Linked DNA regions of Nothobranchius furzeri. The protein of the gene in region 4 interacts with the protein of the main gene of each other region in a pairwise test. Links are inferred from orthologs where the notes say so. Each region holds a gene or a part of one and is shown on either strand. Other genes may lie near its edges.

Region 1 (7,791 bases), on a different chromosome or scaffold from region 4:
CAAGAGAGCCCCTTCTTATCCCTTCTTTTGTTGTCTAACATCACGTCATTCCTAAAAAGGAAACCTCGACCCCTGACTTTAAAACACCCACCCGTCTCCTCACAAACGCTGCAACCTGCTCATTACCTTTAATCACTGCCTCCATGCTTCCATGGCTACGGCTGCTGTTTCCATGGGAATATTTAACAAATCCTAATGAGCGCCTCTGTGTTTTTACATTTGAACTGATAAATGGAATCCTTGTGACCAATTACCTATTGTAATGGTTCTGAAGGGGGAGGTCTGGTCTTAATTAGGAAGGAGCGCGTTACCTGGGGGAGTAAAGCGTTCTCCCAGGTACCACAGAAATAAGAGAGAGTAAAAGAACACATCCTGTTTTGGTTTTTAGTGACACGTTTTAATGAGGTCGGACGGTTAAACCAAAAGAAAAACTGACTTTTTTACTTTACCTTTTGTTGCAACCGTGGTTTATAACTACAGCCAGGGGCGGATTTAGGACTGAAGAAGATCCGGGGCTTAACACACACACGCACGCACGCGCTCGCGCACACACACATGACACGCACTAGTCAACATCATATATATTTGTCTTGTAACACATAATTTTTAATCTGAAGCTACATATTAAGCATTTTCAGGGCAGAGTATTGTTCCTGTTAGTGTTTAGTGTGAGATGATAGTACATATTCCCTTTCTTTCTCCAACAACTTTACCTGATAAGCTAACTTTAGGCAAACCAGCAGCACAACAAATATTTTCAAATAAGACTCAAACCTGAGTCAACACCAGTCTCATCAAAGCTGGGGTTCTGTCGTTGTACTTTGTGTCTAAAAAAACGTCCTTATGTCAATCTTCACTCATGCGTTTCAGGCAGAGAGTGTAGAAGAAGCCGGCTGCTGAAGGGCTTCTTCTTCAGTGGTGGAGGTTCAGGCAGGCTGTATACAAACTACTGCCAGCTGCTCCCTCTCTGTTGGACTTTGGTACTGCATGTTACTTCCGCGATTTAGATCCGGGGCTTTTCATGAAACATCCGGGGCTTCAGCCCAAGTAGCCGGGCCTAACGCCGCCCCTGACTACAGCCCTGCATAGACAGTCTGACCTACTTTAAAAATGTGTAGAAAAATGTTTTTAAACTATGTTTATGTGTTCATTAAAGGCTCAAAAATGTGTGTCACACACTTGTGAAGAATTATAATTACTGGTCATAAAATAAGGTTAATACACAATTTGGTGTTTGGGTGAGTTTTTAAGAAACAAACCAAATATAAATTATCAATGAATATATTTTTTATCATCTTTGAGTGAGTTAAGCTAATTTAGCTCATTTTATCTTCAACAAGGCATCTTTTCCCGCAGGTAACCAGACGCTTCTGAAATATTAGAGAAACCTCCAGTACCAAAACCCTGCCTCTGATCTACTGCAAACAGGAAAAAAAATCTACAAGCTTCTTTATTTTCTAAAGAGTTTTGTCGTAATGAGCTGAGAGTTTAGAGGAAATCCTGTTATGTCCCGGTTACCAAATGAGCTAGTCTGAAAACAAGCTGAAACCAGAGTTTCTTGTGTCAGATAAAATCAGTCTGAATTCATCTTTGAATCCTTACTGAAACTAAATGCGGTTTCCTCATCAAGACACGAGCAGATGAAAAAGAGGAACAGATAGAAACAGGTAGAAACAGACTAAATAACAGCGTGCCATGTTTGCTCCCAATAACCAGACTAAATAAAAGGAGAAGAGAAACTGATCTGAGAGCACGATTAAACTAATTCATGTAGACGAAAGCTGTGCTGGTCTTTTTCTCTCGGTGTCTGTTCACCAGGCTGCACTGAGGTGTTTGGGAAACCCCCACACACACTCGTACACCTCATAAAAATGTATAATAATTGGCTCAAAGAAACAAGAACATGCACACAAAGAAAAATCTACTCACAGGCTTATGTCCTCAGCAAAGCCTAGAATCACCTCATCAAGTCTGCCTAAAGCAGGCGGTGACAAATGATGCAACCAAATTAAAAGCTAAACTCCAGCAGTCCTCCTGATGACCCACTGCATCCCTGAAGCTTTTTTTATTATTATTTCTTCTAAATGGCGTCTTTGTTTAAGGATAATCTGAATATTCTAAATTCATCAATTGTCTATCCAACCATCCATCCATCCATCCATTTTTCTGCCGCTTATCCGGAGTCGAGTCGTTGGGGCAGCAGCCTAAGCTGAGACGCCCAGACTTCCCTCTCCCAGCTTCTTGGGCCAGCTCTACCAGGGGAATCCCAAGGCGTTCCCTGGCCAGCCAAGAGACATGGTCCCTCCAGCGTGTCCTGGGTCTTCCCTTGGATCTCCTCCCAATTAGACATGCCCTAAAAACCTCACCATAGAGGCATCCAGGAGGCATCCTGACCAGATGCCCGAGCCACCTCAACTGGCGCCTCTCGACGTGGAGGAGCAGCGGGACTACTCCATGCCCCTCCCGGATGACTGAGCTTCTCACCCTATCTCTAAGGGAGAGCCCAGACAACCTGTGGAGAAAATTCATTTTGGCCGCTTGTATTCGAGATCTTGTTCTTTTTGGTTACTACCCAAAGCTTGTGACCATAGGTGAGGGTGGGAACATAGATCGACCGGTAAATCGAGAGCTTTGCCTTCCGGCTCAGCTCTCTCTTAAGAAGAGAGAGCTTAAATTGTGAATAATTTAATAATTGGACATAATTTGCGCTGCACAGTGGTTAGAGCTGTTGCCTTGTAGCAAGAACGTCCTGGGTTCGCTTCCCAGCCTGGGATTTTTCTGCATGGAGTTTGCGTGTTCTCCCTGTGCATGCGTGGGTTCTCTCTGGGTACTCTGGCTTCTTCCCACAGTCCAAAAACATGACTGTTAGGTTGATTGGTCTGTCTAAATTGTCCTTAAGTGTGTGTGTGTGTTCATGATTGATTGTCCTGTGTGTCTCTGTGTTGCCCTGAGATGGACTGGCTCTCTGTCCAGGGTGTACCCCGCCTGATTGGCCATTGACCACTGGAGGTGGGCACCAGCCCCCCCCCCCCCCCCCCCCCCCCACCCACCCACCCCCACGACCCTGCTTGGACAAAGCGGGTTCAGAAAATGGATGGATGGACATAATTTGCTTTAAGCAGTTGCATTCATGCCATTTATAGTGTTTAAAGGTATCTAACTACACAAATGAAGTCTATAAAGGCTACACATTTTATTGTCTATAAAACATATTTGGGTAGATTTTCTATATGAAAATTTTCTGCTTTTTTCATGTTACTCTCCTGTGTGTGTGTGTGTGTGTGTGTGTGTGTGTGTGTGTGTGTGTGTGTGTGTGTGTGTGTGTGTGTGTGCGCGTGCGCGTGTGTGTAGAGGTTTCAGGAGATTGAGGAAGCTCATCTGCGTCAGATGAGACAGCTGATCAAAAGTTACTCTCACTCTATAGAGGACACCCATGTCCAGGTGGGACAGGTAGGTTGGAGCCGATCTGCTCTTATCATGGAGCACTTAAGGAAAGTTTTTTTTTTCTCAGTGACTTCAATATTTATTCTGGCAGTGAAAACTAAAAACTTTCTTATAAATTGTACTTTATTTAAAAATAAACTTCAGGTTCACGAGGAATTCAAACAGAATGTGGAAAACATCGGCATCGATATACTCATTCAGAAATTTGTTGAGCAGAAAGGCACGGGCAAAGACAAACCAGGTATACATACACACACACACACACACACACACACACACACACACACTCACACTCCAAACATCATTTAGATAATGTTTGTGTTGCTGTCTGCAGCTCTGGTTGGGTTTGAGGAGTACATGACAGCTCTGACTCCTGAGGGTGGGAAAAAGACTCGAGCTAAAACTTTCAGGATCCCTGGCCTCGGCAAGAGGGACAAGGAGCCAGACTCTACGTGAGTGTAGTACACACACACACACACACACACACCTAAAGCCCTCCGTGTTTACCTGGTTAAATCAGTATTTTAACCGAGTGGTTTATAGAAAGGAAATTGGAATAAATTCACTGAAGTTTTCGTTTTCTTGACTCATCATGATGAAATTCTAGATGTCAAAATCATGTCTGAACACTATATTTCAGTCAGAGTGAATATTGTTGAACAGCAAGGACATGATTGACAGCCTGTGCACCAGTTTAACTGAAGACTGAATAAAGCGATTCAACTTGTTAGAATCTGATGTAAATTCAGTAACTCTAGTGTTTAATTAACAACAGTTTTGTATGTTTGACACCTTGCAGTTGATGTCAAAAACAGCGTAACAAGAATGAGTCTGTAGGTTTGTAAAACAACAGGAACATTTAAGTGCAGGACGGATCATGTCTTCTTTATATGTGGTTGCAGTTTGGTGTCAAACAGCTGATTTCAGTTCAAACAAAGATAAAATATTCTCTTTCATTTATGTAAGGTATTTAATGAGATTTCTTGTTTATTTATTGATTTACATAACATAATTTCTAGTTTATTAACTATTAGGTTAATGCACTCCTTTGGAATTTCATTATGTAAAATCATAATGTGTGTATTTTGGCGGTGCAGGAATGTTTGAACTTCCTGCGATATTCCTGTCTTGATCCTACTGCTGTGTGACGAGATTTTTGTCAGAATGATTTTATATAATTTTTTTGCAACTTTTAATTCTCACAGTGTTGATTTTTGAGTCAAATTCACATTCAGCATCTGATAACAGCCTAGATCGATGGATGGAAAAAACAAACATTTGAATCACCATTTTAGGACTTTTGGTCATGTCTGATTTCAGTTTAAAGTTTTGCTCAATCAAAAAATAGAGCTTTGCTTTGAGCTGTTGTTGAAAAGTTTAATAAACTCCTGTGGTTTTTTTTTTCTGGGTTCGTAGGGACTCGGCTGTCATGGACACGTTGGTAAGTAATTGACGTAATTCACACTCATCTGCGTAAAGCTCGTTTGTCAATCTTTGCCCTAAATAGCAGACGGCTCGTTTGTGCGTGTGTGTATTCTGAAGGCGTAAAATCTGTAAAAACGGTGTGTTGTTGTGCGAGGTGGTGTTGGGAAGAGTCATGAGTGTGTGATGGGTTAGGGTCATGGATGGTGTGGGGTTTCCCATTTTTATTCCTGTACTTCCCAGAAGACATTTGGGAGGTTATCTTCCAAGCACATGGACAGCACATAGCCATGTGTGTATCTGTACATGCTTGTGTGTGTGTGTGTGTGTGTGTGTGTGTGTGTGTGTGTGTGTGTGTGTGTGTGTAAAAGGACTTAAACACTGCCAAACAGCCGTCTAACAGGCTAATGAGAAGTCAGAGCATAAAACAGAGCATCACAGAGCCACTGATGCCGAAATTTTATACTTTCACAAGTTTCATGTTTCTGAAAACACTCGACAGAGGCAACTGCTTAGCCGAGGGAGGGTTTTATAAAAAAAAAAAACATTTTCTACATGACGTATTCACTAATAAAAAACAAAATTTTCACCCAAACAATTGGGTTGACCTTTAATTCAGTTTCTGTCTTACATCTATTGACAAGGACAGTGGTTGTACTTGTAGGAATAACTAAACCCACACTTGTGTCATCAGTGTTGCATCGTCTGTAAGGTCGATTTACTCAATCAGCTACGCTTAGAGAACGCTCTGTTAGAGCTCTGAAAGATGGTGTGTTAATGCTTCTGGGTGTCAGAAATGCACCGTTTGTTTCTGCTGACTCGGCTGCTGTCTGCCTCCCTCTGCTCTGTTTACTACAGAATTCACCGCTGGAAATGGATGATGAGGGATTTGTCATCAGAGCTGACAGCACTCACAATGATATCCTTTTTCTGCTCCTGCTTGATGCATCTGGATATTTAGGGAAAAAAATAGCCAAACACTACTTAAAAGCATCCGTGTTTAAGTCATCCTCTCTTCTGCTGGATTATTCAAAGACTTTAGACTCATAAATATGTTATAATCTAGACTTGGGTTTCATTCACACTGCAGGCCCTGTTGCTCAATTCTGATTTTTTGAGTAAACCAGATTTTTTCGTGTGGCTGTTGACATTATGACTGAAGTGCGACATCAAGCTCTCTCCAGTGAGGGGCGGAGTTGTGATGTGAAGAGGTAAACTATTTTACTCCTTTTTCCCGCCGTCTTCTCGAATTATAATTCACCGAAAATGTTCCGAAATTACGTTCATTCATGGAGAAGCCCCTCCTGAAGTCCTTCTGTCAGCGCTTCTCCTCGAGAGCATCAACACACCTGCTCACCTCAGCTGACTCGGTGACATAGGACACGGTTTTAATTCGACATGATCACTGCAGTCACTTTCAAAGACATCAGATATGCACTGGAATCAGTACCACATACGAAAGTGACCTTGGTCAGATTTGAAAAAATGGGATCTGTGCTGTTCAGATATGGGTCACATGTGGGGAAATAAATCAGATTTCATGCACTTTTGCCTGCAGTTTGAAACTATCCTTAGTCGTGTGTTAAACTCCGTCTGCAACACATTTATTCTTGGGATTTTGATGAACAGACTCTAAATTCCTCCAAACAGTGTTTTAATGCATCAGGGGATTAGAGAGTTTTCTCCATTTTTCTGCACAATTTTCTACATTTGTGGTTTTTTTATGTGAAGAATTATAAAGCTCTAATTTGTGTTTTGGTAGGACACAAGTAATTCAGATTCAGATTCCTTTATTAATGACCACACAACAAGTTGGTGGAATTTGTAATCAGTACAGTATGGCATGCTCACATCTGTGTCTTCACACAACAACCAACATCCAATGGCGGGTACGCATAGATGTTTGATTTAACGACCATACAGGTTCTGGGGCTGCTTTGCTGCATCTGGGACAGGGTGTCTTTAATCTGTGCAGGGTACATGAAATCTCAAGACTATCAAGGGACTGTGGAGAGAAATGTGCTGGCCAGTGTCAGAAAGCTTGGTCTCAGTGGCAGGTCAAGTGTCTTGCAACAAGACAATGACCCAAAACATGCAGTGAAAAACACCCAGAAATGGCTAAGAGGAAAACACTGGACTATTCTAAAGTGGCCTTCTATGAGCCCTGACCTCAATCCTGTTGAGCATCTTTGGAAGGAGTTGGAACGTGCCTTCTGGAAAAGGCGCTCTTCAAACCTGAGACACCTGGAGCTGTTTTCTCATGAGGAGTGGGCCAAAATACCTGCTGCAGAAGTCTCTGACAGTTACAGAAATCGTCTGATTGCAGCGATTGCCTTAAAATGTTGTGTAACAACATATTAAGTTAGGGGTACTGTCATTTATGTCCAGGCCTGGTCTATAAGTTTATTTTTTCAGTAATTCCATTGAAGCGTGGTTGAAAATCAATGTCTGACTTTCACTGGTTAACATTCATAGAATTTTTATTTATTATTACTTTTGTCAGATTCAAGTTATTTCTCTGACCATTGTGGGTTTTTGTGTCGTTGACCGAAGGGCACCAACTATTTTGTCCACGTCTGTATTTCTAAATGTAGAAGATTTATAGTTCAAATTAAACTTTTAATGGCCTTTTTTCTTTTCGTCACCAAAACCGTTATTTTTATTCTTGACTCGTTTCCTCCTGAACGCTGCTCTGATGAAAAAGAGAACAACTTCTACTCCAGCGACTCAGACTTCGATGATGAGGAGCCCAAGAAGTTCCACGTCCAGATCAGACCGGAGGCCAGCAGCAGCTCTGTGGCCACGGAGAAGGAGCTGAAGGCCACCGTCTGGGCGCTCACTCTGCCGCCCAACAGAAGAGCACAACAGCAGGTGGGTCGTCGCTCTTTGGCCCAACGCTTTTAGTAAACATCATAAAAACAAACT
Region 2 (7,519 bases), about 36 Mb from region 4:
AAACAGGAAGTACACAGTACGATGTCCTCTGAAAATGACTACAACCGCATTACCAAATAATCTCTCAAAAATAAACATTAAACTTTGACGTATTCGTTTAAATAACAACTAAGGTATTTTATCAAGTGCTTTTAACTGAGAATGATACAAATAGTTATGAATCACAGGAGCTATTAGATGTTTAAAGTGTAACAGAAAGAGAATTTTAAAGTGTTTGGTTGTTTTATTAAACACTTTGTGTTCTTTAAGGTTCAAACACCTCCTGTAGACCATGTGAAAAGTCTAATAAGAAAATAAAAGAACAATAAAACTGAAAATAAGGAAGGCTGGAGCATTCAGGTGAGTAAAGGTTTATTAGGTGTGAGTAGGGATCCACAATATATCACAAATAAGTCGTTATCGCAATATCAGCATGCGCAATATGCATATCGCAAAGAACAGGTAAATACAGCAATGAATGGTCAGCTCAGATGTTTGCTACACATAATGCATTCTGTCAATCAAGCAGAAGCATTATGTTTTTTAAACAAATCAAATAGAGCTCTTTGGCATATTGGGTGGGTTCTCATAGGTTAGATGTCCGCCCCTGAGGCAGACGGCACTTAATTTTGATGGTTAGCAAACACCTGAGTTAGCTTTGTTCTGCTCTTTCTGCTTTTCCCGGGATCCACTGATTGCCTTTTATTGTTCATTTTATTTTTCCCTTTCCTCACATCTTTTGCTTTTCTCATTTTTATGATTTCTTTTTGTAATTTATTAATTTTGATTATTTTTGTTGCTGAGTTGAGTTTTTAATTATCGCAAGTCATATCGTCATTGCAATATTAGTCACTGTTATCGCATATCTCAGGTTTTCCTAATATCCTAGGTGTGAGTTAAAAGGACTAACGTTTCAACACTATGTGTCTTCGTCAGAGTTATGACATTGGTTACTCTGACGAAGACACATAGTGTCAAAACGTCCTTTTTACTTGCACCCAATAAACCTTTACTCACCTTGAGTCGTCCAGCCTTCCAGCTTTTCATTCAGTGTTCACCGGCTGTGGAGCACCGACCTGTGAGGGGTTGATACGCAGAGGGCTCCATTCCCTAACAATAATAAGACATTTTAGTGCTGTTTCTGATTTTTTAAAACACAATTTGGTGCAGAGTGAAAGATTGACCCATTATCTTCTTCAGTTAATCTAAGTGAAATTGAGGCATTCACTCAGAACTCAAACAACAGATTAGATCACCTCCACTTCGGTTATGTTCATGCACAGCCTCAAAAATCAGCTGTTAACATCATTCATGCAGAAATAAGTACACAGGAAGGAAACCGTTTCAGTGAGCTGAAACATGCAACACATTAGGATCACATGGTTCTTAAAGCCTCCACTGAGTTGTGACCGTCAGAACATGATCTGGTGTGTTTTATAGGTGGACAGGTAGAGACCCACTGGACCCACTTCCAGTAGGATCTGTCTTTCTTTCTTTCTTTCTTTCTTTCTTTCTTTCTTTCTTTCTTTCTTTCTTTCTTTCTTTATTCTTTCTTTATTCATTCATTCATTCAGACATTTAACCTTCTTTTAGATTGAATTGACTATTTGCTGTGAGCCAGAGAAACTGTGCCTCTTCCACAAATTTCTTCTTAGAGGCTGTAGCCAACCTTTGCAGTCAGACTTGTCTGAGAAGGACCTGCAGCTTTCTGAGTGTCTTTTGCAGCTCCGTGTGGTGATTTCATCTTCACTTGATATTTAAAGAGCCTCCAGGAGCTCTGTGCCCTCTCGGTGAGAACAGCCAGGTCGGTTAAAAACACTTATGTGTAGATCACTTTTAACACTTGAATGCTTTAGTCTTTGACGTGGTCTTATTTCCACATCAACTGTGGTGATTTCTGTGGCCCGTTTTCACCGGTCAATCAGTTTACACACCCGTTTATTCAACCTGACTTCCTCCGATGACTGTGGGTCTAACTCGCAGCACTGTTTTTCCAGGAATGATCTGGGGCTGTGAGAGGTCGAGGCAGCCTCTCCAGTAGCTGTCACCACGGCGGGGCACCTGCGTAGCTCCGTCTGCAGGGTTGTCATCTACCTCCAAAAGGACATGTCTGGGGACAGCTGTCTTCCCCACCATCATGTTCAGGATACCCCTGCACCCCCAGCCCCTCTCATGGCTTGTCCCAAGACCAAGACCTGCAGCTACCGAGGAGCCGTGGGTCTGGGCAACAAGTATGTCCATCTCAACGTTGGAGGAATGCTGTTTGACACCACGCTGCAAGTTCTGACCAAACAAAATTCCATGCTGAAAGCCATGTTCAGTGGAAAGAGAGAGGTTTTCACCGACAAAGACGGTTAGTTGGTGATCTGTCTCAGCACTATAATTTACTGTTGGGATTCATGTCTGGCTACTACCATCCTTTCATCTACTCTCAGCATGGATCAGGAAACAGTCTGTCATCATAGACTGTTGCTTCCTTGCAGGTTGGATCCTGATCGACCGTAGCGGGAAACACTTTGACAGCATCCTGTGTTTCCTACGAGATGGAACCGTTGGCCTACCCAAAGGTCGGCAGGCCGTGCAGGAGCTGATGGCTGAGGCCAAGTACTACCTAATCCAGGACCTCGTAGAGCTCTGTCAGAACGCCCTGCTGGTCAGTTACTATAAATCAATATGCCATTGTGTTGCATTCTGATTTATGAAGGTGTCTCTACAAGCAGGAAAACCGAGATCAGCCCACTGTAATCATGTTTTATTTAAATGTATATCCCGTTGGTCACTGGCAGCAATTTACATTAATGCAAAAATCTTTACTTTTATTATAACGGAAGTCATAATACTTAGTCCTGGCAGAAGAAATGGCTCTGGTGCTGATATTGACCTTGGCCCATTGACACCCTATGAAAAGAAAATGGTCAGTAATTTGGGGATTAAAATCGACTCATCACTTAATCTTGACACTCATGTAAATACAGTGGTGAGGTCCTGTTTCTTTAACCTGAAAAGACTATCCAGGATCAGGCCTCTGCTGTCCAGAGCTCATCTGGAGTCTGTGTTGCATCCCTTCGTCCTTTCCCGGCTGGACTACTGCAACGCTCTGTATGCTGGTCTGGCCCAGTGCACGGTTGCACGGCTCCAGTTTGTGCAGAACTCTGTGGCTAGGTTCCTGACAGGCATTAGATGTCGAGAGCACATTACCCCAGTGCTGGCTGCTCTGCACTGGCTCCCGGTAAAATATCGAGCTCAGTTTAAAATCTTAACTCTCGTTTATAAGGCCCTCCAGGGCAGTGCCCCCTCGTACATTACTGCGCTTTTGAACAGGTATGCTCCATCTCGGTCTCTTCGCTCAGCCGAGCAGGAACTTCTGGTGGTCCCCCGGCCGAAATTTCGATCGAGGGGTTGTCGTGCTTTTTCTATTTTGGCTCCAACTCTGTGGAATGAATTACTACTGAGCATTAGGCAGGCACCATTCCTTCAAGTCTTTAAGCCTCGTTTAAAGACTCATTTTTATCTGATTGCGTTTCAGCGCTAGGGTCACTTGAACTGCCCTAACATTATGGTTTTAACTATTCTTCTTTTTAACCCAGATGCTTGATTTTATTTTGTCCGACATTTGTTTTTTTATCGATTAGTCTTATTCCGATATCTCTTATCTGTAATAGTATTTGCTTGATATTTTTTGATTTTATGTTTTTATCCTGCTTTTATGCCCATGTACTGGGAATGTTTTTCTTTTAATGATGTTGTTCAGCACCTTGGGCTTCGGATAATGTTGTAGAAGGTGCTATACAAATAAAATTTGATTGATTGATTGATTGATTGATTCAAGAACTTCATCCAAATTTTATCCAGTTCAGAGGAAATCACAGTTAGTCTGTCACTGTTTTCTATACATTATGTTTCAATTAATTAATTAACTACACTTTTTCATTTGTGCAATCTGAGATCCTTTTATTTATTTTATTTTATCATTTGTTTATCCTTCCAACACGTTTAACTGCAAAGCCACTTTGTACAGATGTGCCACTTAAATAGACTTCCCCTAAACATGGTGACATCATCACTAGTAGCCACTAACCCAAACATGGTGACATCATCACTAGTAGCCACTAACCCAAACATGGTGGCATCATCACTAGTAGCCACTAACCCAAACATGGTGACATCATCACTAGTAGCCACTAACCCAAACATGGTGACATCATCACTAGTAGCCACTAACCCAAACATGGTGACATCATCACTAGTAGCCACTAACCCAAACATGGTGGCATCATTACTAGTAGCCACTAACCCAAACATGGTGACATCATCACAAGTAGCCACTAACCCAAACATGGTGACATCATCACTAGTAGCCACTAACCCAAACATGGTGATATCATCACTAGTAGCCACTAACCCAAACATGGTGATATCATCACTAGTAGCCACTAACCCAAACATGGTGATATCATCACTAGTAGCCACTAACCCAAACATGGTGATATCATCACTAGTAGCCACTAACCCAAACATGGTGATATCATCACTAGTAGCCACTAACCCAAACATGGTGGCATCATCACTAGTAGCCACTAACCCAAACATGGTGGCATCATTACTAGTAGCCACTAACCCAAACATGGTGATATCATCACTAGTAGCCACTAACCCAAACATGGTGATATCATCACTAGTAGCCACTAACCCAAACATGGTGACATCATCACTAGTAGCCACTAACCCAAACATGGTGATATCATCACTAGTAGCCACTAACCCAAACATGGTGATATCATCACTAGTAGCCACTAACCCAAACATGGTGGCATCATTACTAGTAGCCACTAACCCAAACATGGTGATATCATCACTAGTAGCCACTAACCCAAACATGGTGGCATCATTACTAGTAGCCACTAACCCAAACATGGTGATATCATCACTAGTAGCCACTAACCCAAACATGGTGGCATCATCACTAGTAGCCATTAACCCAAACATGGTGGCATCATCACTAGTAGCCACTAACCCAAACATGGTGACATCATCACTAGTAGCCACTAACCCAAACATGGTGACATCATCACTAGTAGCCACTAACCCAAACATGGTGGCATCATCACTAGTAGCCACTAACCCAAACATGGTGACATCATCACTAGTAGCCACTTACCCAAACATGGTGACATCATCACTAGTAGCCACTAACCCAAACATGGTGGCATCATCACTAGTAGCCACTAACCCAAACATGGTGGCATCATCACTAGTAGCCACTAACCCAAATATGGTGACTTCATCACTAGAAGCCACTAACCCAAACATGGTGACATCATCACTAGTAGCCACTAACCCAAACATGGTGACATCATCACTAGTAGCCACTAACCCAAACATGGTGACATCGGCTGTGTTCCAGATGAGCCAGTTCTGTGCAGATAGATCACTGGTAATCGGCGCGCAGTGCATGCTGGTTAGATTTGTGTCCGACTTAACGCCTACGTAGGCAACGATAACCTCATGAGTTCAAGGTGGCTGCAGATTTTGGAGCAAGGCGCTGCAGTTGCTCTCCACCGGCTGCAAAACCTAGAGGATGACGGGAAACGCCTGGCTCTCACCTGATCTAAGATCTGATTGGTTCACATTTTGATCCAAACATCCGGTGGTAGAACATGAAATGTTAGTTGGTCACATGTATTCTGTAAATCATGTTACGTTGATGATGACAACTATATAGGCCATAAAGAGGAATGCGTTTTGTGTTCTTTTCTCACGTTTCCTATGAGCACACTGAACATACAGCTGATGACCTTTACTTATTATTACAGTCATGATTTCATATACAATATATGATATCCACAAGCACGTGAGGATGTGTTTCAGTTGCTAACAGGCACCAGAATTAAAGTGTGAACGCTAACGCGATATCTTCAGACATCATCACCCGCAAGCTACATGTAGGGAAATCTGTCCGACTTAAATGCCGGCTTTCAGCCGCTCCCCCTGCTGCGTCCGTCTGCTCTCTGTTTTCCAGGCGAGGCGCTGCTCATCTCAAACATGGCCATCATCACTAGCCCACTAACCCAAACATGGTGACATCATCACCATGTTGAAATCTATTCATTATGCTTTTGTTCAGTAAATCAGAATCCGCCCTGAAAACCAGGAAGCTCTATATTGATGAAAATGTATCTAAACCTAATTAAGGACATTTATTTTGATTTGACTCCACTGTTTTTTCTCTCTCAACACATTTTGTGATGTCTGATTTCTAATCGATGTGCTACTTCTGTTCTGCAGGAGAAGAACGAGCAGCCTCTTTGTGTTATACCTGTGATCACTTCCTGTAGAGAAGAGGAGCTGCTCATCCAGACCTCCTCTAAAGTACACACACACACACACACATAACCTGAAGTATACTTTACAAAACCACATTTTAAATCTTTTGTAACTTATTGTCATTAATTAGTCTCTTTTTAAGGTGAATTGTGTGTGTGCTTGCTTGCCTTCATGCTAAAGAAATGCGTCAGTTTGATGTTTCTGTTATTTCTTGGTGTTTTAAAGGTGCATTGTGTAGAAATGAAGGGAAAGTGACATCCTGTGGTAAAATCTGGTTACTGCAGCCACTTTAAACAACTCTGGAGCTTTTTGCCGGCCGTCGTCAAATTATGACAAATTGTCAACGCTGCAGTATTAGCTGGCAGGAGACACGACACCCCCACACTCACTGAAGTAAACGGTAGTTACGCCCCCTCCTTCCTTTGTTTTGAAAGGAGGAAACCTGACAACCCAGCAACCAGCTGGATATGAAATATGTTTCAGTATAACCTTCCTTCCAAAATGACTGAAACATTAGACTCTTTGGGGATTTTCTCATTGTAAAATTCTCACTATATTACATAGTGCACCTTTAAATGAGTAAAATCTAGATAAGTGATGAGTGTTTTCTTGTCTGTTAGCCTGTAGTGAAGCTGGTGTACAACAGAAGCAATAACAAGTACTCCTACACCAGGTGACACGGCCTCTTCCTGACATTTAAGCAGTCGTAGTTCACGATGCTCCCTGAGACTCTCCCCTCCAGCTCACTTTGTTTTCCTCTCCACAGTAACTCTGATGACAACCTGCTGAAGAACATCGAGCTGTTCGACAGACTGACGCTCAGCTTCAACAGCCGTGTCCTCTTCATCAAAGACGTGATCGGAGATGAAATCTGCTGCTGGTCCTTCTACGGTCAGGGCCGCAAGCTGACCGAGGTGTGCTGCACCTCCATCGTCTACGCCACAGAGAAAAAACAGACTAAGGTAGTAGATCAGACGAAATAAATGTTGCAGTAAAACAGATGGGTTTGTAACTGACCTGTTGTCGTGTTGCCAACGTTACCCGTCCCAGGTGGAGTTCCCTGAAGCTCGTATCTACGAGGAGACGCTGAACTCCTTGCTTTACGAGAAGATGCCGCTCCCTGATAACTCCCTGCTGGAGGTCACTCGGCGGACCTACAACAACAGTGGCTCTCACAGTGAAGACGAGGAAGATGGAACCAGAGGAAGTGAGCTGT
Region 3 (4,176 bases), on a different chromosome or scaffold from region 4:
AAATCAAACAGATAGCAAAATGAAATGGCTGGAGTTGTAACAGTTGTTTATTTGTAACAATGGTATTTATGGTAACATTATATCTGTATAATCTACTTCATAGTGTATACCTGAAAACAGTGTTTTACTGTTATTTATTTCAAAAATACTCAAGCTCTTGTCAACTGACCTCATTTTCTGTGAGTACAGTCAAACCCAGCTCTCTTAAGACATTCTTTTCAGCAAAGGAGAAGGCAGGATCATAAACATAGCAGTCCCGCAGTAAAATCTACATGGACAGGGGCAATAAAGCACATATTTTGCATCAGAGTTTCACAAGTATCATTTATAACACAGATGGAGTCGATCTTCTCACCTGTCTCGCATCCAGAAGAAGCAGCAACATGGCAAGTTGGTAGCGAGCGGCTACACATGAAGAAAAAGACCCAAGACCATAACAAACACACATCAGTGTTTCTTCTGGGGCTTTTTCCAGCTGATTTTCAGTGTCACTGTCCCCTGGAGGTTTTAGGGATGCTGCTGCTGCCTGGAAATTCTCTGAAGAGAAGATGATCCACTAAATAACTAAGCTTAACTCAACCTACATATCTACAACAAACTCACCATTCCAGTCTTTCCAAAAATCTTCGTACTTTAGTTCAAACCTAAGAAGGAAAGATATAAGCAAACCAATAACTTATGGGAAGATGTATGATTTCACCTATTATGCAAGATAAATATTGTTACTCATATATATATATATATATATATATATATATATATATATATATATATATATATGTATATATATATATATATATATATATATATATATATATATATATATATACATACATACATACATACATACATGTGTGTGTGCGTAACTTCTTACATGTTGTCTCTGATTCTTCTGATGAGTTTTCCAACATCCAGTTGCTCCTGATGGCATGATGGTGAGTTTAGAGGAACTTGATGAGATTTAAATTGCCTACATACACCTTTTCGACGCCGAGCTACCTGCCATTCATCGGATATGTACGACATTTGTGTGAATTGCCAGATGTAATTTACATAAGTACATACATTTCCAAACGTAAGTATCATAAAAACATGGAACTCAAAACCAAATTTAGCATTTTGAGAGCTGAAAGCTAAAAATGGAAACGCAGATGACCTATTCAAGTGCAACACATTGTTCTGTTTCCGGTGTGATTTCCGTCTAGTTAAAAGTCACGTAAATTCAACAGATTTGCTGTTGTTCGATTGTTTTTATTTTTAAAAAAAATATTGACCGCTTTATAAAAATGTATGTGTTGAATGGTTGGTTTTAATTAAGCTGCTTTTAAAATATTAATGAAATTATTTGTAGTGTACATTAATTGAAGTGACACGGCTAAACCGGAAGAACTTGCTTTTGACAAAAATATATCATTCGTCAACAGTTCGTGTCTCTGCAGTTCGTCTTATTACCACATAAGATATGTGTTTTTGATCTCAGACCAAGGTTGTAATTAATATTTTAGTAAGTTAACTTAAACGAAATCGTCGTTTTTTATCACTACTAACATGTTGTGTGTATTTACATTAATGCTACAGAACGTGCGTTATTGCTAGTAATTAGCCTTCGCTCCGTTTTCTTCTAAGCAGATTTGTATAGTTTTATAATCGATGTTTCACGTTTAGTCTTATTTGTGTATTCATCGTTATTGATTGTAAACCTTTTTGTCATTATTAATTTATCGTTAGTTAAACCACAAACGTTGACTTCATACCTGACTTAGTTATCGCATTTTATTTCCCTCTTCTTTGCCTTTAATAAACTAGATATGCATCTTTTTCCTGATTTTGAAGTCACAATGTTTCTTTCCTGGAAAATAAATGCACGTGTAATTTTAGGATTCGGTCACATTTCATTAAGATCTATATTGTTTATAACTTGCAGAGATGTCAATGTCCCACCTTTACGGGCGGAGGGAGGAGGAAGAGGAAGGTGTGGAGGTGGAGAGTTTTGAGATTACTGACTGGGATTTAGCCAATGAGTTCAACCCAGACCGTCGCAAATTCAGGCAGAGCAAGGAGCAGGCCACATATGGCATCTGGGCCGAGAAGGATTCTGATGAAGATGAAAGGCCCAGCTTTGGTGGCAAGAAGTATAAATGGCTTGCTTTTGACACAAATTCCAATTCTGAAACAATTTCTAACCAAATGTTCTAATAAAATATTTATGATTTCTTTTTAGATCCAAAGACTACACTGTACCTGTGAGCTTTGTGAGTGGTGGTTTGCGTAAGAGTGCTGCTGAAGAGAAAGAGCGGGAAAAAGAAGGCAGCTCTGACGACTCTGATGATGATACTTCTGCAAAACTCCCCCCTTCACGCGTGACTGCACCCAAAAAACTCCAGATGGTAATTTTTAAATGTGCGCACATTGTGATGTCCATTGTTTGTAGAAGAAAATAGTGAAAATAATGATGTTGGGAAAAAATGTTTTTCTAGGGTAATTTCTGTGGAAATCAGTCTAAGAGGTTTGCAGGTGGAATACAGTCTGGACAAGGAATTGGTAACTGGGAGAAACACACCAAAGGAATTGGACAGAAACTTCTGCAGAAGATGGGTTACCAGCCAGGGAAAGGCTTGGGGAAGAATGCTCAAGGTGTGTTTAGTTGACTTAGATTGTTCTTTTAAAAATGTTGTAAAATGTTTTGTTTTTTACATGGATGTGGTGGAATTGAAACACTTGTAATGTACTTTCTCTCTGTAGGTATCATAAACCCCATTGAGGCAAAGATCCGTAAGGGAAAAGGAGCGGTTGGTGCTTATGGCAATGAAAGAACCCAGCAGAGTCTTCAGGACTTTCCTGTAGTTGACTCAGAGGAAGAAGAGGAGAAGGTAAAGTACTGAGAAAAAAAATTGTCTTTACAATGTTGTTTTTATTTTTGTGTTTGATTTTATTGATCAAATGAGTCTATAGAGTCATTGTGGTAATTTTCTATATCTTTATATAGGAATTTCAGAAGGAACTTGGCCAGTGGCGTAAGGATCCAGCTGGGCCTGCAGGAAAAAAGAAGCCCAAGTACTCTTACAGAACAGCAGATGAGTTGAAGGCTAAAGGTAAAATAGTGAGTCGGAGCACATCTGCAACTGCAGGAGAGCTGGCACAGGTCAAGGTATGTTTATGTTTCACTTGTGTGCTGTTTGTTTTTTATGTTGGCATGGCTGCATAGGTGCAAAATTGAGGATTCAGTGTTTTATTAAGCATCAGTAATTTAAGTACATTTTGGCTACATTCATAGTACTTATTTATCCTGACATTTCCCTTGGTCTAGGTAATAGATATGACTGGAAGAGAGCAGAAGGTATACTACAGTTATAGTCAGATGTCTCACAAACACAGTGTTCCCGATGAAGCTCCACCAAGCTTGGCTTCACAGGATCAAAAGGTATCTGGCTTTGCTCTCCCCGAACTTGAGCATAATCTGCAGCTTCTGATAGACCTGACAGAACAAAACATATTACAGGTAAGAGGAAACCAAGAATTATTTACAACATATTTAGCTACAAGAATAGGATATTAATAAGTCAGCAACCTGAGAAAAATGTGAAGAACTTGTAATCTCTACTAAAGCGTTCTTTCTTTTTTTTGTGCATCTTTTGTAGTCTGCCAGACGTTTGCAGCATGAAAAAGACGTGGTTGTTTCTCTGAGCCATGAGTCAAAAGCTTTGCAGAGCAGACTGGAGTCAGAGCAAGAATCCATCCGAAGAATGGAAGCTGTCTTAGCATTAGTGGAGCGTTTTCCTTCTGAAGAGACGGCACCGGGAGAGGGCCCGACCCTACAGGTTTGTGTTACAAACACTGACTGGAGCCGGTCTGCAAGCTGTTCAAATTAAGGAGTTCCAGCTTTATATTTCATAATTGTGAAGCTGATTTGTAGTGCTTGTCTCTTCAGGAGTGTGCCCAGATCTTTGAGACATTACAAACCGATTATTATGAGGAATACAAGATGATGGGATTGGCAGATTTGGCTGTGGCTGTCATTCATCCATTGCTTAAAGAGAAACTCTCCTCCTGGGACCCTGTGAAGGTAGTCTTTTACAGTTAGAGGAAACCACATTTTTAGTAAATGATTAATATCCAAGCTAATTCTTGAACGCTTTCTGATCTTTTCAGGACAGTTCTTATTGTCTGGAGGATATC
Region 4 (8,487 bases):
GCGCACAGATGAGGAGAAGTCTCTGTTTATGTTCCTCATCAGGGTCAGCTCGTCCATTTTGTTGCGGAGTGAGCGCACATTAGAGAGGAAGGTCCCAGGTAGAGCCGTGCGCAGTCCCCGTCTCCTCAGACGCACGAGCGCGCCCGCTCGTTTACCTCTCCTCCTGCGTCTCACTTTCCTGATCAAAGTTGATATTGAATCGGCCCCGGATGCAACAAAAAACCAGGTTAAGTCCACCGGAATCATAGTGTTGTAACTTATGAGTTCTTCTCTTGAGTAGGAGAACCCAGATACGCAATTTACACACAAAAACAGAACAATAACAGCGCACCAAAGTACCAAGGCAGCCGTCTGCGGCGCCATCTTTGAAAAAGCAGAGAAGAAGAGGTGCTGTCGGACATGGCGAATGTTTGGGGATGGGAGAAAACAGCTGCTTGAGCCTCCAGAGCGCATCTGCTGCTGCAGGAGTGCCTCTCTCAGTTGATGTCGCAGTTGGAGGGCCGTCCTCAACAAAGTTCATATCAGTTTCTGAGCCCAAAGTGTCGTGCTGCAGCAGACTGGGAAGGGTGATGGCGGCCTTCGACATGAAAGAGGTCATGGCATTGCCCATGTGCCAAACCCAGACAGTTGTGCTTGCACAAAAGTGTGGCTAAATGTTCAGGACCAAAGAGGGTGCCGCTGACGGTGGTGATGCTGCTGAGACAAAGGAGGAACTGCAGGATGAGGCAGTACCAGTCGGAGGACAACAGTGATCTCATGAGAATGGTAAGATACATCATGAAAAACAGCTCTACCGGAAAATCTCCCCCAGGATTTGGTCACTGGCTCCCAAACATTAGAGGACATTTCAAAGGAATTGATTCCCAAAGAAGCCGTATGTGCGGAGTGTGGAGGCCAGCTGCAGCGGGGAGGGGATGACTGTGGGGCAGACACGATGATGGTCAGTGGTCTTACAGTTTAAATGCCATTTGTGGATGTACCGTTGGAGTTTGAATGCCCTCTATGAGACCCTGGACATGCCTTTTGATTTAGCTCCAGTGAGTTTTTATCGTTATTTTAAAAAATGCACTGCGAGACCAATTTAAATTTAAATAAAGAACTTTTCAATTTGTATATATTATTAGTCAGACATGCCCGTAATCAGGAGTTGGTGGTGCCATGGATGTAATTTTCACTTTAGAAGTGGGGGGGGACACGGGGTGGGGATCTTTACAGTATGTTCTAATGGGAAACAGGCTTCAACACAAATGGTTGTTTTCTGCTTGGTCCTAGTAGCCTGGCAAGCCAGACTAAATAAATTTATTATTTAGTCTGGCCACGCTCCATTGACGGCTCTCGGTTGTGGGGCGGGTTCTACGGTTGTCTTTCAAATGATCTCCGCATGCTACTGGACAATGAATGTGACATACTCTTGTTTCACTCTGTTGCATCATCCCACCCACCAGGCATATAGAGTGCCCTGATTGGCCCACAAAGCGGATAAAGCTCTGTGATTTGTTCACTAAGCAGATAGAGCACTATGATTGGCCCACCATTATGGACCAATCACAGCTCTTTATGTGTTTGAAACCCCTCTAGAGAGCTGTGATTGGCTAGCCAGAGTCCTGGTAGGAGCTGTGGAGGTTCCAATGGAGCATGCCTAGACCAAACTTTGCAAAGCAAGAATTTGGTCTAGTTCACTAGGCTATGGTCCTAGAGCTCAACCAGTGTCAATTTAATATAGCGTAATGTTGTTTTTGGATGGTAAAAAGTGCAGGGGTCAAAGCTTGACTTTGTGGGGGGGGGGGGGGGGGGGTCATGTCCCCCCCTGTACCCCCCCCCCCCCCCCCAAATTACATCCATGGGTGGTGCCAACAATTACTGAAGACATTTCCTCTGGCTGGGTATGAATACTTTGCAGGAAATTTCCAGGATGTGAGTTGCCAGTACATGGGGAGTTTGTAATATTTCATGGGGAAAATCTTTTCTTCAAAGTCAATTCAGCCCAACAGAGCCAGACACTATGGAGGTCACCCAATGAAAAGAAGTACAGGTATGTAGCATCTAGTGAATGTTTATTGGTTGTTTGTGTATTTGTATTCAACGACGAGAGCATGACTCATTTCCTTGTTATTGGAATTCATTATCATTTTGCATATGGGACGTGTCTGTGATGAGTGGCATCATGGTGGCCTGGAGCTGGGTGAAGGAAAACCAACAACACTTTGTTACATAGGTCATCCCACCAGACATCTTCAGTGTGGATGAAGACGACGCAGCAATGGCCGTCTGTTCGTGACTACACACGATATGGATGAGGATGAAACCCGGTCTCCCTTCATTTTCACCTTCTCAGAGATGATATGGAGTTTTCATGCATGACATAAGAGACAAAAGAGATATCCGTGTGTCTTGCATGTGCAACACAGATTAGTACCTGGTGTTTTGCTGTTTGGTTTAGTTTACCAATCTATGTCATCAATTACATGTAAAATAAAATCATCAGCATTGATGTTTGTCTTAAAATCTCAGTCAACGTCAGTTATCGTCACTAGGGCTATGGGGGAGCTGGATTATGTCTCAGACTTAGAAAGGCAGGCTACACACACACATCTATATAAATATATATATATATATATTTGTTTATATCTATATGTGTGTGTGTGTGTATGAATAAATATATATTTATTTATTTATATCTGTGTGTGTATAAATATATATAATTATACTTCTATGTAGTTAGTATTTAGGATTTATTATATTTAACACATGATACATATAAAGTAAGTGAAATTTATATACCACTCATCACAGACAAAATCACAAAGTGCTTCACACAGATCAAAACTAAGTAATAACATCACAATGATCTTTATCAGACTTACATTAAAAACAAAATAGTAAAGTCATAAAATATGAAACAAGTTAATCCTCTGCCTTTGTGGTTCTGCAGCGAGCTCCACTTGGGTGCTGTGGGTCCTCCAAAGCACCCAGTCAACTATGATAATACTAGATTATACAGCCTACTTAGGCCCAGAAGGTCTGAAACAGGTTTTCATAGCACAGCAAACATATTCTGTGAAACATTTATGCTTTCAAGTATGTATTTAAAATATTTAAACCAATTACCAAAAACAAAATAAATAAAAAATAGAAAAACGAAGAAGCATTTTTTGCTATTGAAAATTTTACCTAAATTGTAAACATAAAGCAACAAAAACGGGTGTCCACTTGCGGAGCACCTGTCAGTTTTCTCAGAAGATCAAAATTTGAAGGCAAATAGAAGTAAAATGAATAAAGTAGTTGCTTTAACAAAAAACTACAACTTGCTTCACAAAGACAGCATCAAGTTAAACACGAAACCAGTAATGACGAACACAGCTTCTGGTTATTCACGCAGCATTCTAAAATGGTGTTTACAAATGAAAGAATGGGGTTTTGTCGCCCCCTAGTGGTTAACTGACAACTCGATGGATAGCGCTTTCCGTTTTGTACTTTCAAAATAAATAATGACTAAATAAACGATCAGAAGCATATATAAAAAAGATTATTGTTGAAAAATGTTACTTATGATCATAAAAAATTAAAACGCAAGACACCTATGTAATACGTTTTTGTAAGAAGTGTCAAATCGATGTCTCCGGTTTAACTTTGAAAGAACCGATGACGTAATTCCCCTGCGACAAACATATTCTCGAAGAAGGCGGCATGATGGAGGTTTCTGCTTCTAATAATGTTTCTCTCAGAGAGTTCGGCTGTGAACAGAATCTGCTGTCCAGACCGGACGGCTCGGCGTCGTTCGTCCAGGGTAACAATCATCATTTATGTCCGTGATTTGGTCTTTTATTCAGACTCAAACAGGCTGCGCGAGTCGCAGAGGAGCGCTGTTCGCCGAAAAGCATCTTAAAAGCAGAAGAAAGGAAGTGAATGTGTAAATATGAGGTTTGGTGTCGCGTGTTTAAACGCGTTTCCCTCGACTTAAACCCGTGGCCTTTACACCTTTGGTTGAAGTTTTCCTTTTTATGTTTGAAAATTGTCACAAAGCTTCTTTTTTTACGTTGAAAATAAATCAACCAGTGTTGTTCAGGCGTTTCACAGATTGGTGTTTTGTTTACCTTCTAGGTGTTTCTTACTTCACTCAGTTCAGTTCAAAAATACTTTATTAATCCCAGAGGGAAACTGATTGCTGTAGTAGCTCAGAATAATAATAATAATCAAGTCATCAAAGAGGTGTTGTATATTACAACGGCTGTTGGCAGGAAGGATCTCCAGTAGCGGTCAGTGTTGCAGCCAAACTGAAGAAGCCTCTGACTGAAGACACTCTTCCGTTGTCGGACAGTCTTGTGAAGAGAATGCTCAGGGTTGTCCATCATTTTCTTGATTCTCTGGAGAATCCTTCTTTGCTTTATCTCCTCCAGCGGTTCCGAAAATGCCGAAACTCTGGCTGAGTCCTCGAAAGGGCTTGGAGTTCCTCCATCTTGTTGGCCAGTGATCTCACATCGCCCATTATGATCGATGGAAGAGATGGTTTGAATTTCCTCTTTCTCCGTCTCCGTCCCGCTCCCGCTCTGCACCCACGCTTCTTTTGTTTTAGCTCATTTGGGATTTGTGGCTTCAGTCGAGGTGTTATTTCAGCCTTTCCAATGTTAATCAGCTGCTCCCGATTGTAAACCAGCTTGTTGCCATGGTTACACATCATAACAAATGCTAAAAAAGTGAAAAAATTGCAGAAAAAATCCTCCAATCTTCACAGCACCAGAAACAGAAAAGTAAAATGTCAAAAAATACAGTTTTTCTTGAGAAACTAGAAGAAAAAATGTCCAAAAAAGGCAAAACTTCCATATAGTCAACAGAGCTACTCCAACATGCAGCCACCCAGAGCAGCGCAGTTCTGGAATGAAATGAATGCTTCTGTAAAATTAGAAATATACTAATAACCGTTTACCTTGTTTGTTTGTTTTCAAAGGGGATACGAGTGTGATGGCCGGCGTTTACGGGCCTGCTGAGGTCAAAGTCAGTAAAGAAATCTATGATCGGGCCACTCTGGAGGTGTTGCTTCAGCCTAAAGTGGGACCAGCAGGTAGTTTATTTTCCAGAATGGAAAACAAATGAATTATTGTCATTTTTGTTTTGTTTTCTTAAACCAAACACTTTTAAATATTAGATATGAGCCAAAATGTCAACAGGAACAGGTGTGTCACCAAACAAAAGGTGAACGCCGGGTTTCAGACACATTTTGGGCTGTTGCTGTTTGCAGAATCCTCACATCAAATACAACACCAAGTCATTTTATCAAAGCAGAAACGTGATGTACTCAGTCGTTTCCTTTTATGAGGGTTTTTACAAAAAAAAACTGGTGTCATCTCCTGTTTCATCTAAAACATAAACGTAATAAATCCCACTCCTAACAGGTACATTTTGCTCTACACTTGATGACCTTCGTGCACTTTTACCTTTAAAACTTTTGCAGCTATTGAATATTTTTGTAATCGAGTACTCTATCGAATCTTTTATCGATTAATCGAGTACTCTAATAAATTACCCTTTTGTGTTTATAAACTATTATTATTATTATAAACAAGATTTTCCCCTCGTGTGTGGATCTACCAGCCTGCAAGCCAGACAAAAACTAGGAGGATAACTGTTGAAGTAGCACAGCGAGCGGCTGCGGCCCAAACGGCACCAGAACCGCTCACGGCGCATGCACAAACATGGCTCGCCAGCTGTTTCCCTATGAACACACGTCCGTTTTAATTTCTACACTTTTTGTCTAACACTAACGAGGATTGTCGAGAAAGCATGTTTGCCGTGGTTTTGTCAAATTATACTGATCACAAAACATTTATTTACTTTCTTTTGTTTTCCTCATAAACACCCGTGTCCTCCTGCAGCGACCCCGAGGGACAACAGACGTCAATAACAACACAATAAAAAGTCTGACGTGTAAAAACTGCTATTTTTAGCACATTTTTAGATCCGACGTGTTGCTACCAGACGACAGTGTGAGCTGAAACTGAGCGCTACAAACGAAAAAGTCGCAAAGCGGACCTCCGAGTCCGCTTGCAGAAGTGACATTTACATATGGATGTTTCCTGGTCAGGTGCTGCAGCATGGAGGATGTGGTGTTGTGGTCGGCTACATCCATTTTACAGTATTTACTCTGGACTACGTTTCCCGCCTGACCACGTGAAAAATGCTCCCTCACCTTTGATATTTTGTGTCTTTTTCACACTCCACCGGGGTCCACGTCGTCCGCCATGGCTTAAGAGAAAGTTAGGTTACATTCGCTACTCGCGTGTGCGTTCAGTGCTGTGTGTATGTGCGTCACTTATTTCAGTCCGGGTGAAACGTGACCACGGGCGATTGCTAAGCCATGAATTAATTAAACATGAATTAAATGAAGTCTCGAGGCAGAGAGTTTGAGAATTGTACACGAATTATTCGAGGTACTCGAGGAATCGTTTCAGACCTAATCATGTGTGAAATCCATGGCACATAACAAGCAGAATTAGAAAATAGTGTCTTTAGCCCCGCTGACTTGCATTCATTGTTTTGTTCTTCTGGGGACCCGTGGTCCGGAAGTAGATGGGCGTGGCTTAGACTCCCTATGGAGCGCTGTCTGTCACCTATGATAGACTGTCACTATGGTAAAGCTATGGAATCTTGCGTTACCATAGTTACAGCTCAGGTGCATCATTTAAAATGCTTCATTATTAAGGCCAGAACTAGAGCTGCGGCTATCAAATATTTTTGTAATCGAGTACTCTAATAAATGACCCTTTTGTGTTTGTAAACCATTATATCAAATAGCATGTTATAAAATATGAAAGAGCTCCTAAAATTAGCACGCAATTGCCAGTTATTCTTCAAGTTTTATTCAAAATTAGTTTTCAAAACTTCAACTTTACTTCACAGTAAACAAACGCCTGTGCAAAAAATAAGTAAACAACCTGAGCCGGTTTTCTCCTCGTGTGGATCTACCAGCCTGCAAGCCAGACAAAAACTAGGAGGATAACTGTTGAAGTAGCACAGCGAGCGGCTGCGGCCCAAACAGAACCAGAACCGCTCACGGCGCATGCGCAAACATCTCGCCAGCTGTTTCCCTATGAACACACGTCCGTTTTAATTTCTGCACTTTTTGTCTAACACTAACGAGGATTGTCGAGAAAGCATGTTTGCCGTGGTTTTGTCAAATTATACTGATCACAAAACATTTATTTACTTTCTTTCGTTTTCCTCATAAACACCCGTGTCCTCCTGCAGCGACCCCGAGGGACAACAGAAGTCAATAACAACACAATGAAAAGTCTGACGTGTAAAAACTGCTATTTTTAGCACATTTTTAGATCCGACGTGTTGCTACCAGACGACAGTGTGAGCTGAAACTGAGCGCTACAAACGAAAAAGTCGCAAAGTGGACCTCCGAGACCGCTTGCAGAAGTGACATTTACATATGGATGTTTCCTGGTCAGGTGCTGCAGCATGGAGGATGTGGTGTTGTGGTGGGCTACATCCATTTTACAGTATTTACTCTGGACTACGTTTCCCGCCTGACCACGTGAAAAATGCTCCCTCACCTTTGATATTTTGTGTCTTTTTCACACTCCACCGGGGTCCACGTCGTCCGCCATGGCTTAAGAGAAAGTTAGGTTACATTCGCTTCTCGCGTGTGCGTTCAGTGCTGTGTGTATGTGCGTCACTTATTTCAGTCCGGGTGAAACGTGACCACGGGCGATTGCTAAGCCATGAATTAATTAAACATGAATTAAACGAAGCCTCGAGGCAGAGAGTTTGAGAATTGTACACGAATTTTTCGAGGTACTCGAGGAATCGTTTCAGACCTAGATGTAAGGAGAGTTGCCTAAAACATTTAGCACTTTTATAGCATTTTCCTCCTACCAGCTAACGGTAGAGTTTCTGCCCTGGGACTGGGCGATCAGGGGTCAAATCCACGGTCGGGTCGTACCAAAGACTTTAAAAATGTGACCCGATGCCTCCCTGCTTAACACTCAGCATTAAGAGGTTGTTTCGTGTGATTAAAGAGCAAGTCACCCCCTACCAGAGTCTTACTCCACTCCCACTTCCTGTTTGAACAATGCAACAAATGCTGTTGCCTAGCAGACCGAGAGGGTGGAGCCACTAACAAATACACACACACACAGGCTCACAACGACATTGTGACATCATATGGTACCAGCTAACGTTCTAGGGTACCTCTTAGCCAATAGCGATGGCAGATTTAAATTCAAATGCAGTGCAGAGTTTTTACCTGACAACGGCGCAACACTGACAGTTTTAGGCAGAAAATTAAAATTTTAACTAAAATGCACTAAAGTGCAAAACTATTGACAACACGTGTCTGCAGCACGATTAGACACGCATTTCTATAGTTTATCAGGAAAAAAAGCTGATTTGGGGGTGACTTGCTCTTTTAAACGACCAAATAGTTGCCGGGCGCAGACGTGTGTGCAGCTCACTGCTCCCTCAGGGATGGGTCGAATGCAGAGA

The links.
Region 1: the proteins of exosc5 (region 4) and fcho1 interact in binary tests that used the Homo sapiens proteins (3 or more experiments, as listed by UniProt). The two-hybrid records come from large-scale screens. The link is inferred for Nothobranchius furzeri from reciprocal best matches to the Homo sapiens genes EXOSC5 and FCHO1.
Region 2: the proteins of exosc5 (region 4) and tnfaip1 interact in binary tests that used the Homo sapiens proteins (3 or more experiments, as listed by UniProt). The two-hybrid records come from large-scale screens. The link is inferred for Nothobranchius furzeri from reciprocal best matches to the Homo sapiens genes EXOSC5 and TNFAIP1.
Region 3: the proteins of exosc5 (region 4) and tfip11 interact in binary tests that used the Homo sapiens proteins (3 or more experiments, as listed by UniProt). The link is inferred for Nothobranchius furzeri from reciprocal best matches to the Homo sapiens genes EXOSC5 and TFIP11.

The regions. Positions count from the first base shown.
Region 1 is NC_091748.1:67,266,633-67,274,423, reverse strand, and holds part of fcho1 (f-BAR domain only protein 1), read left to right. Parts: intron 1-3,351; coding exon 3,352-3,450; intron 3,451-3,588; coding exon 3,589-3,685; intron 3,686-3,778; coding exon 3,779-3,896; intron 3,897-4,860; coding exon 4,861-4,885; intron 4,886-5,724; coding exon 5,725-5,785; intron 5,786-7,552; coding exon 7,553-7,737; intron 7,738-7,791. UniProt on the Homo sapiens protein: Functions in an early step of clathrin-mediated endocytosis. Has both a membrane binding/bending activity and the ability to recruit proteins essential to the formation of functional clathrin-coated pits.
Region 2 is NC_091753.1:22,426,487-22,434,005, forward strand, and holds part of tnfaip1 (BTB/POZ domain-containing adapter for CUL3-mediated RhoA degradation protein 2), read left to right. Parts: intron 1-1,976; 5' UTR 1,977-2,085; coding exon 2,086-2,332; intron 2,333-2,462; coding exon 2,463-2,632; intron 2,633-6,264; coding exon 6,265-6,348; intron 6,349-6,923; coding exon 6,924-6,976; intron 6,977-7,069; coding exon 7,070-7,265; intron 7,266-7,353; coding exon 7,354-7,519. UniProt on the Homo sapiens protein: Substrate-specific adapter of a BCR (BTB-CUL3-RBX1) E3 ubiquitin-protein ligase complex involved in regulation of cytoskeleton structure.
Region 3 is NC_091757.1:45,000,280-45,004,455, reverse strand, and holds the start of tfip11 (tuftelin-interacting protein 11), read left to right. Parts: upstream 1-1,376; 5' UTR 1,377-1,486; exon of another isoform or gene 1,487-1,504; intron 1,505-1,924; 5' UTR 1,925-1,926; coding exon 1,927-2,132; intron 2,133-2,221; coding exon 2,222-2,387; intron 2,388-2,477; coding exon 2,478-2,634; intron 2,635-2,742; coding exon 2,743-2,870; intron 2,871-2,986; coding exon 2,987-3,148; intron 3,149-3,307; coding exon 3,308-3,499; intron 3,500-3,638; coding exon 3,639-3,818; intron 3,819-3,928; coding exon 3,929-4,063; intron 4,064-4,149; coding exon 4,150-4,176. Other genes in the region: srrd (SRR1-like protein), read right to left, coding at 170-268, 356-537, 604-644, 875-1,086. UniProt on the Homo sapiens protein: Involved in pre-mRNA splicing, specifically in spliceosome disassembly during late-stage splicing events. Intron turnover seems to proceed through reactions in two lariat-intron associated complexes termed Intron Large (IL) and Intron Small (IS).
Region 4 is NC_091753.1:58,573,409-58,581,895, forward strand, and holds the start of exosc5 (exosome complex component RRP46), read left to right. Parts: upstream 1-3,627; 5' UTR 3,628-3,687; coding exon 3,688-3,787; intron 3,788-4,387; exon of another isoform or gene 4,388-4,487; coding exon of another isoform or gene 4,488-4,506; intron 4,507-4,945; coding exon 4,946-5,059; intron 5,060-8,487. UniProt on the Homo sapiens protein: Non-catalytic component of the RNA exosome complex which has 3'->5' exoribonuclease activity and participates in a multitude of cellular RNA processing and degradation events.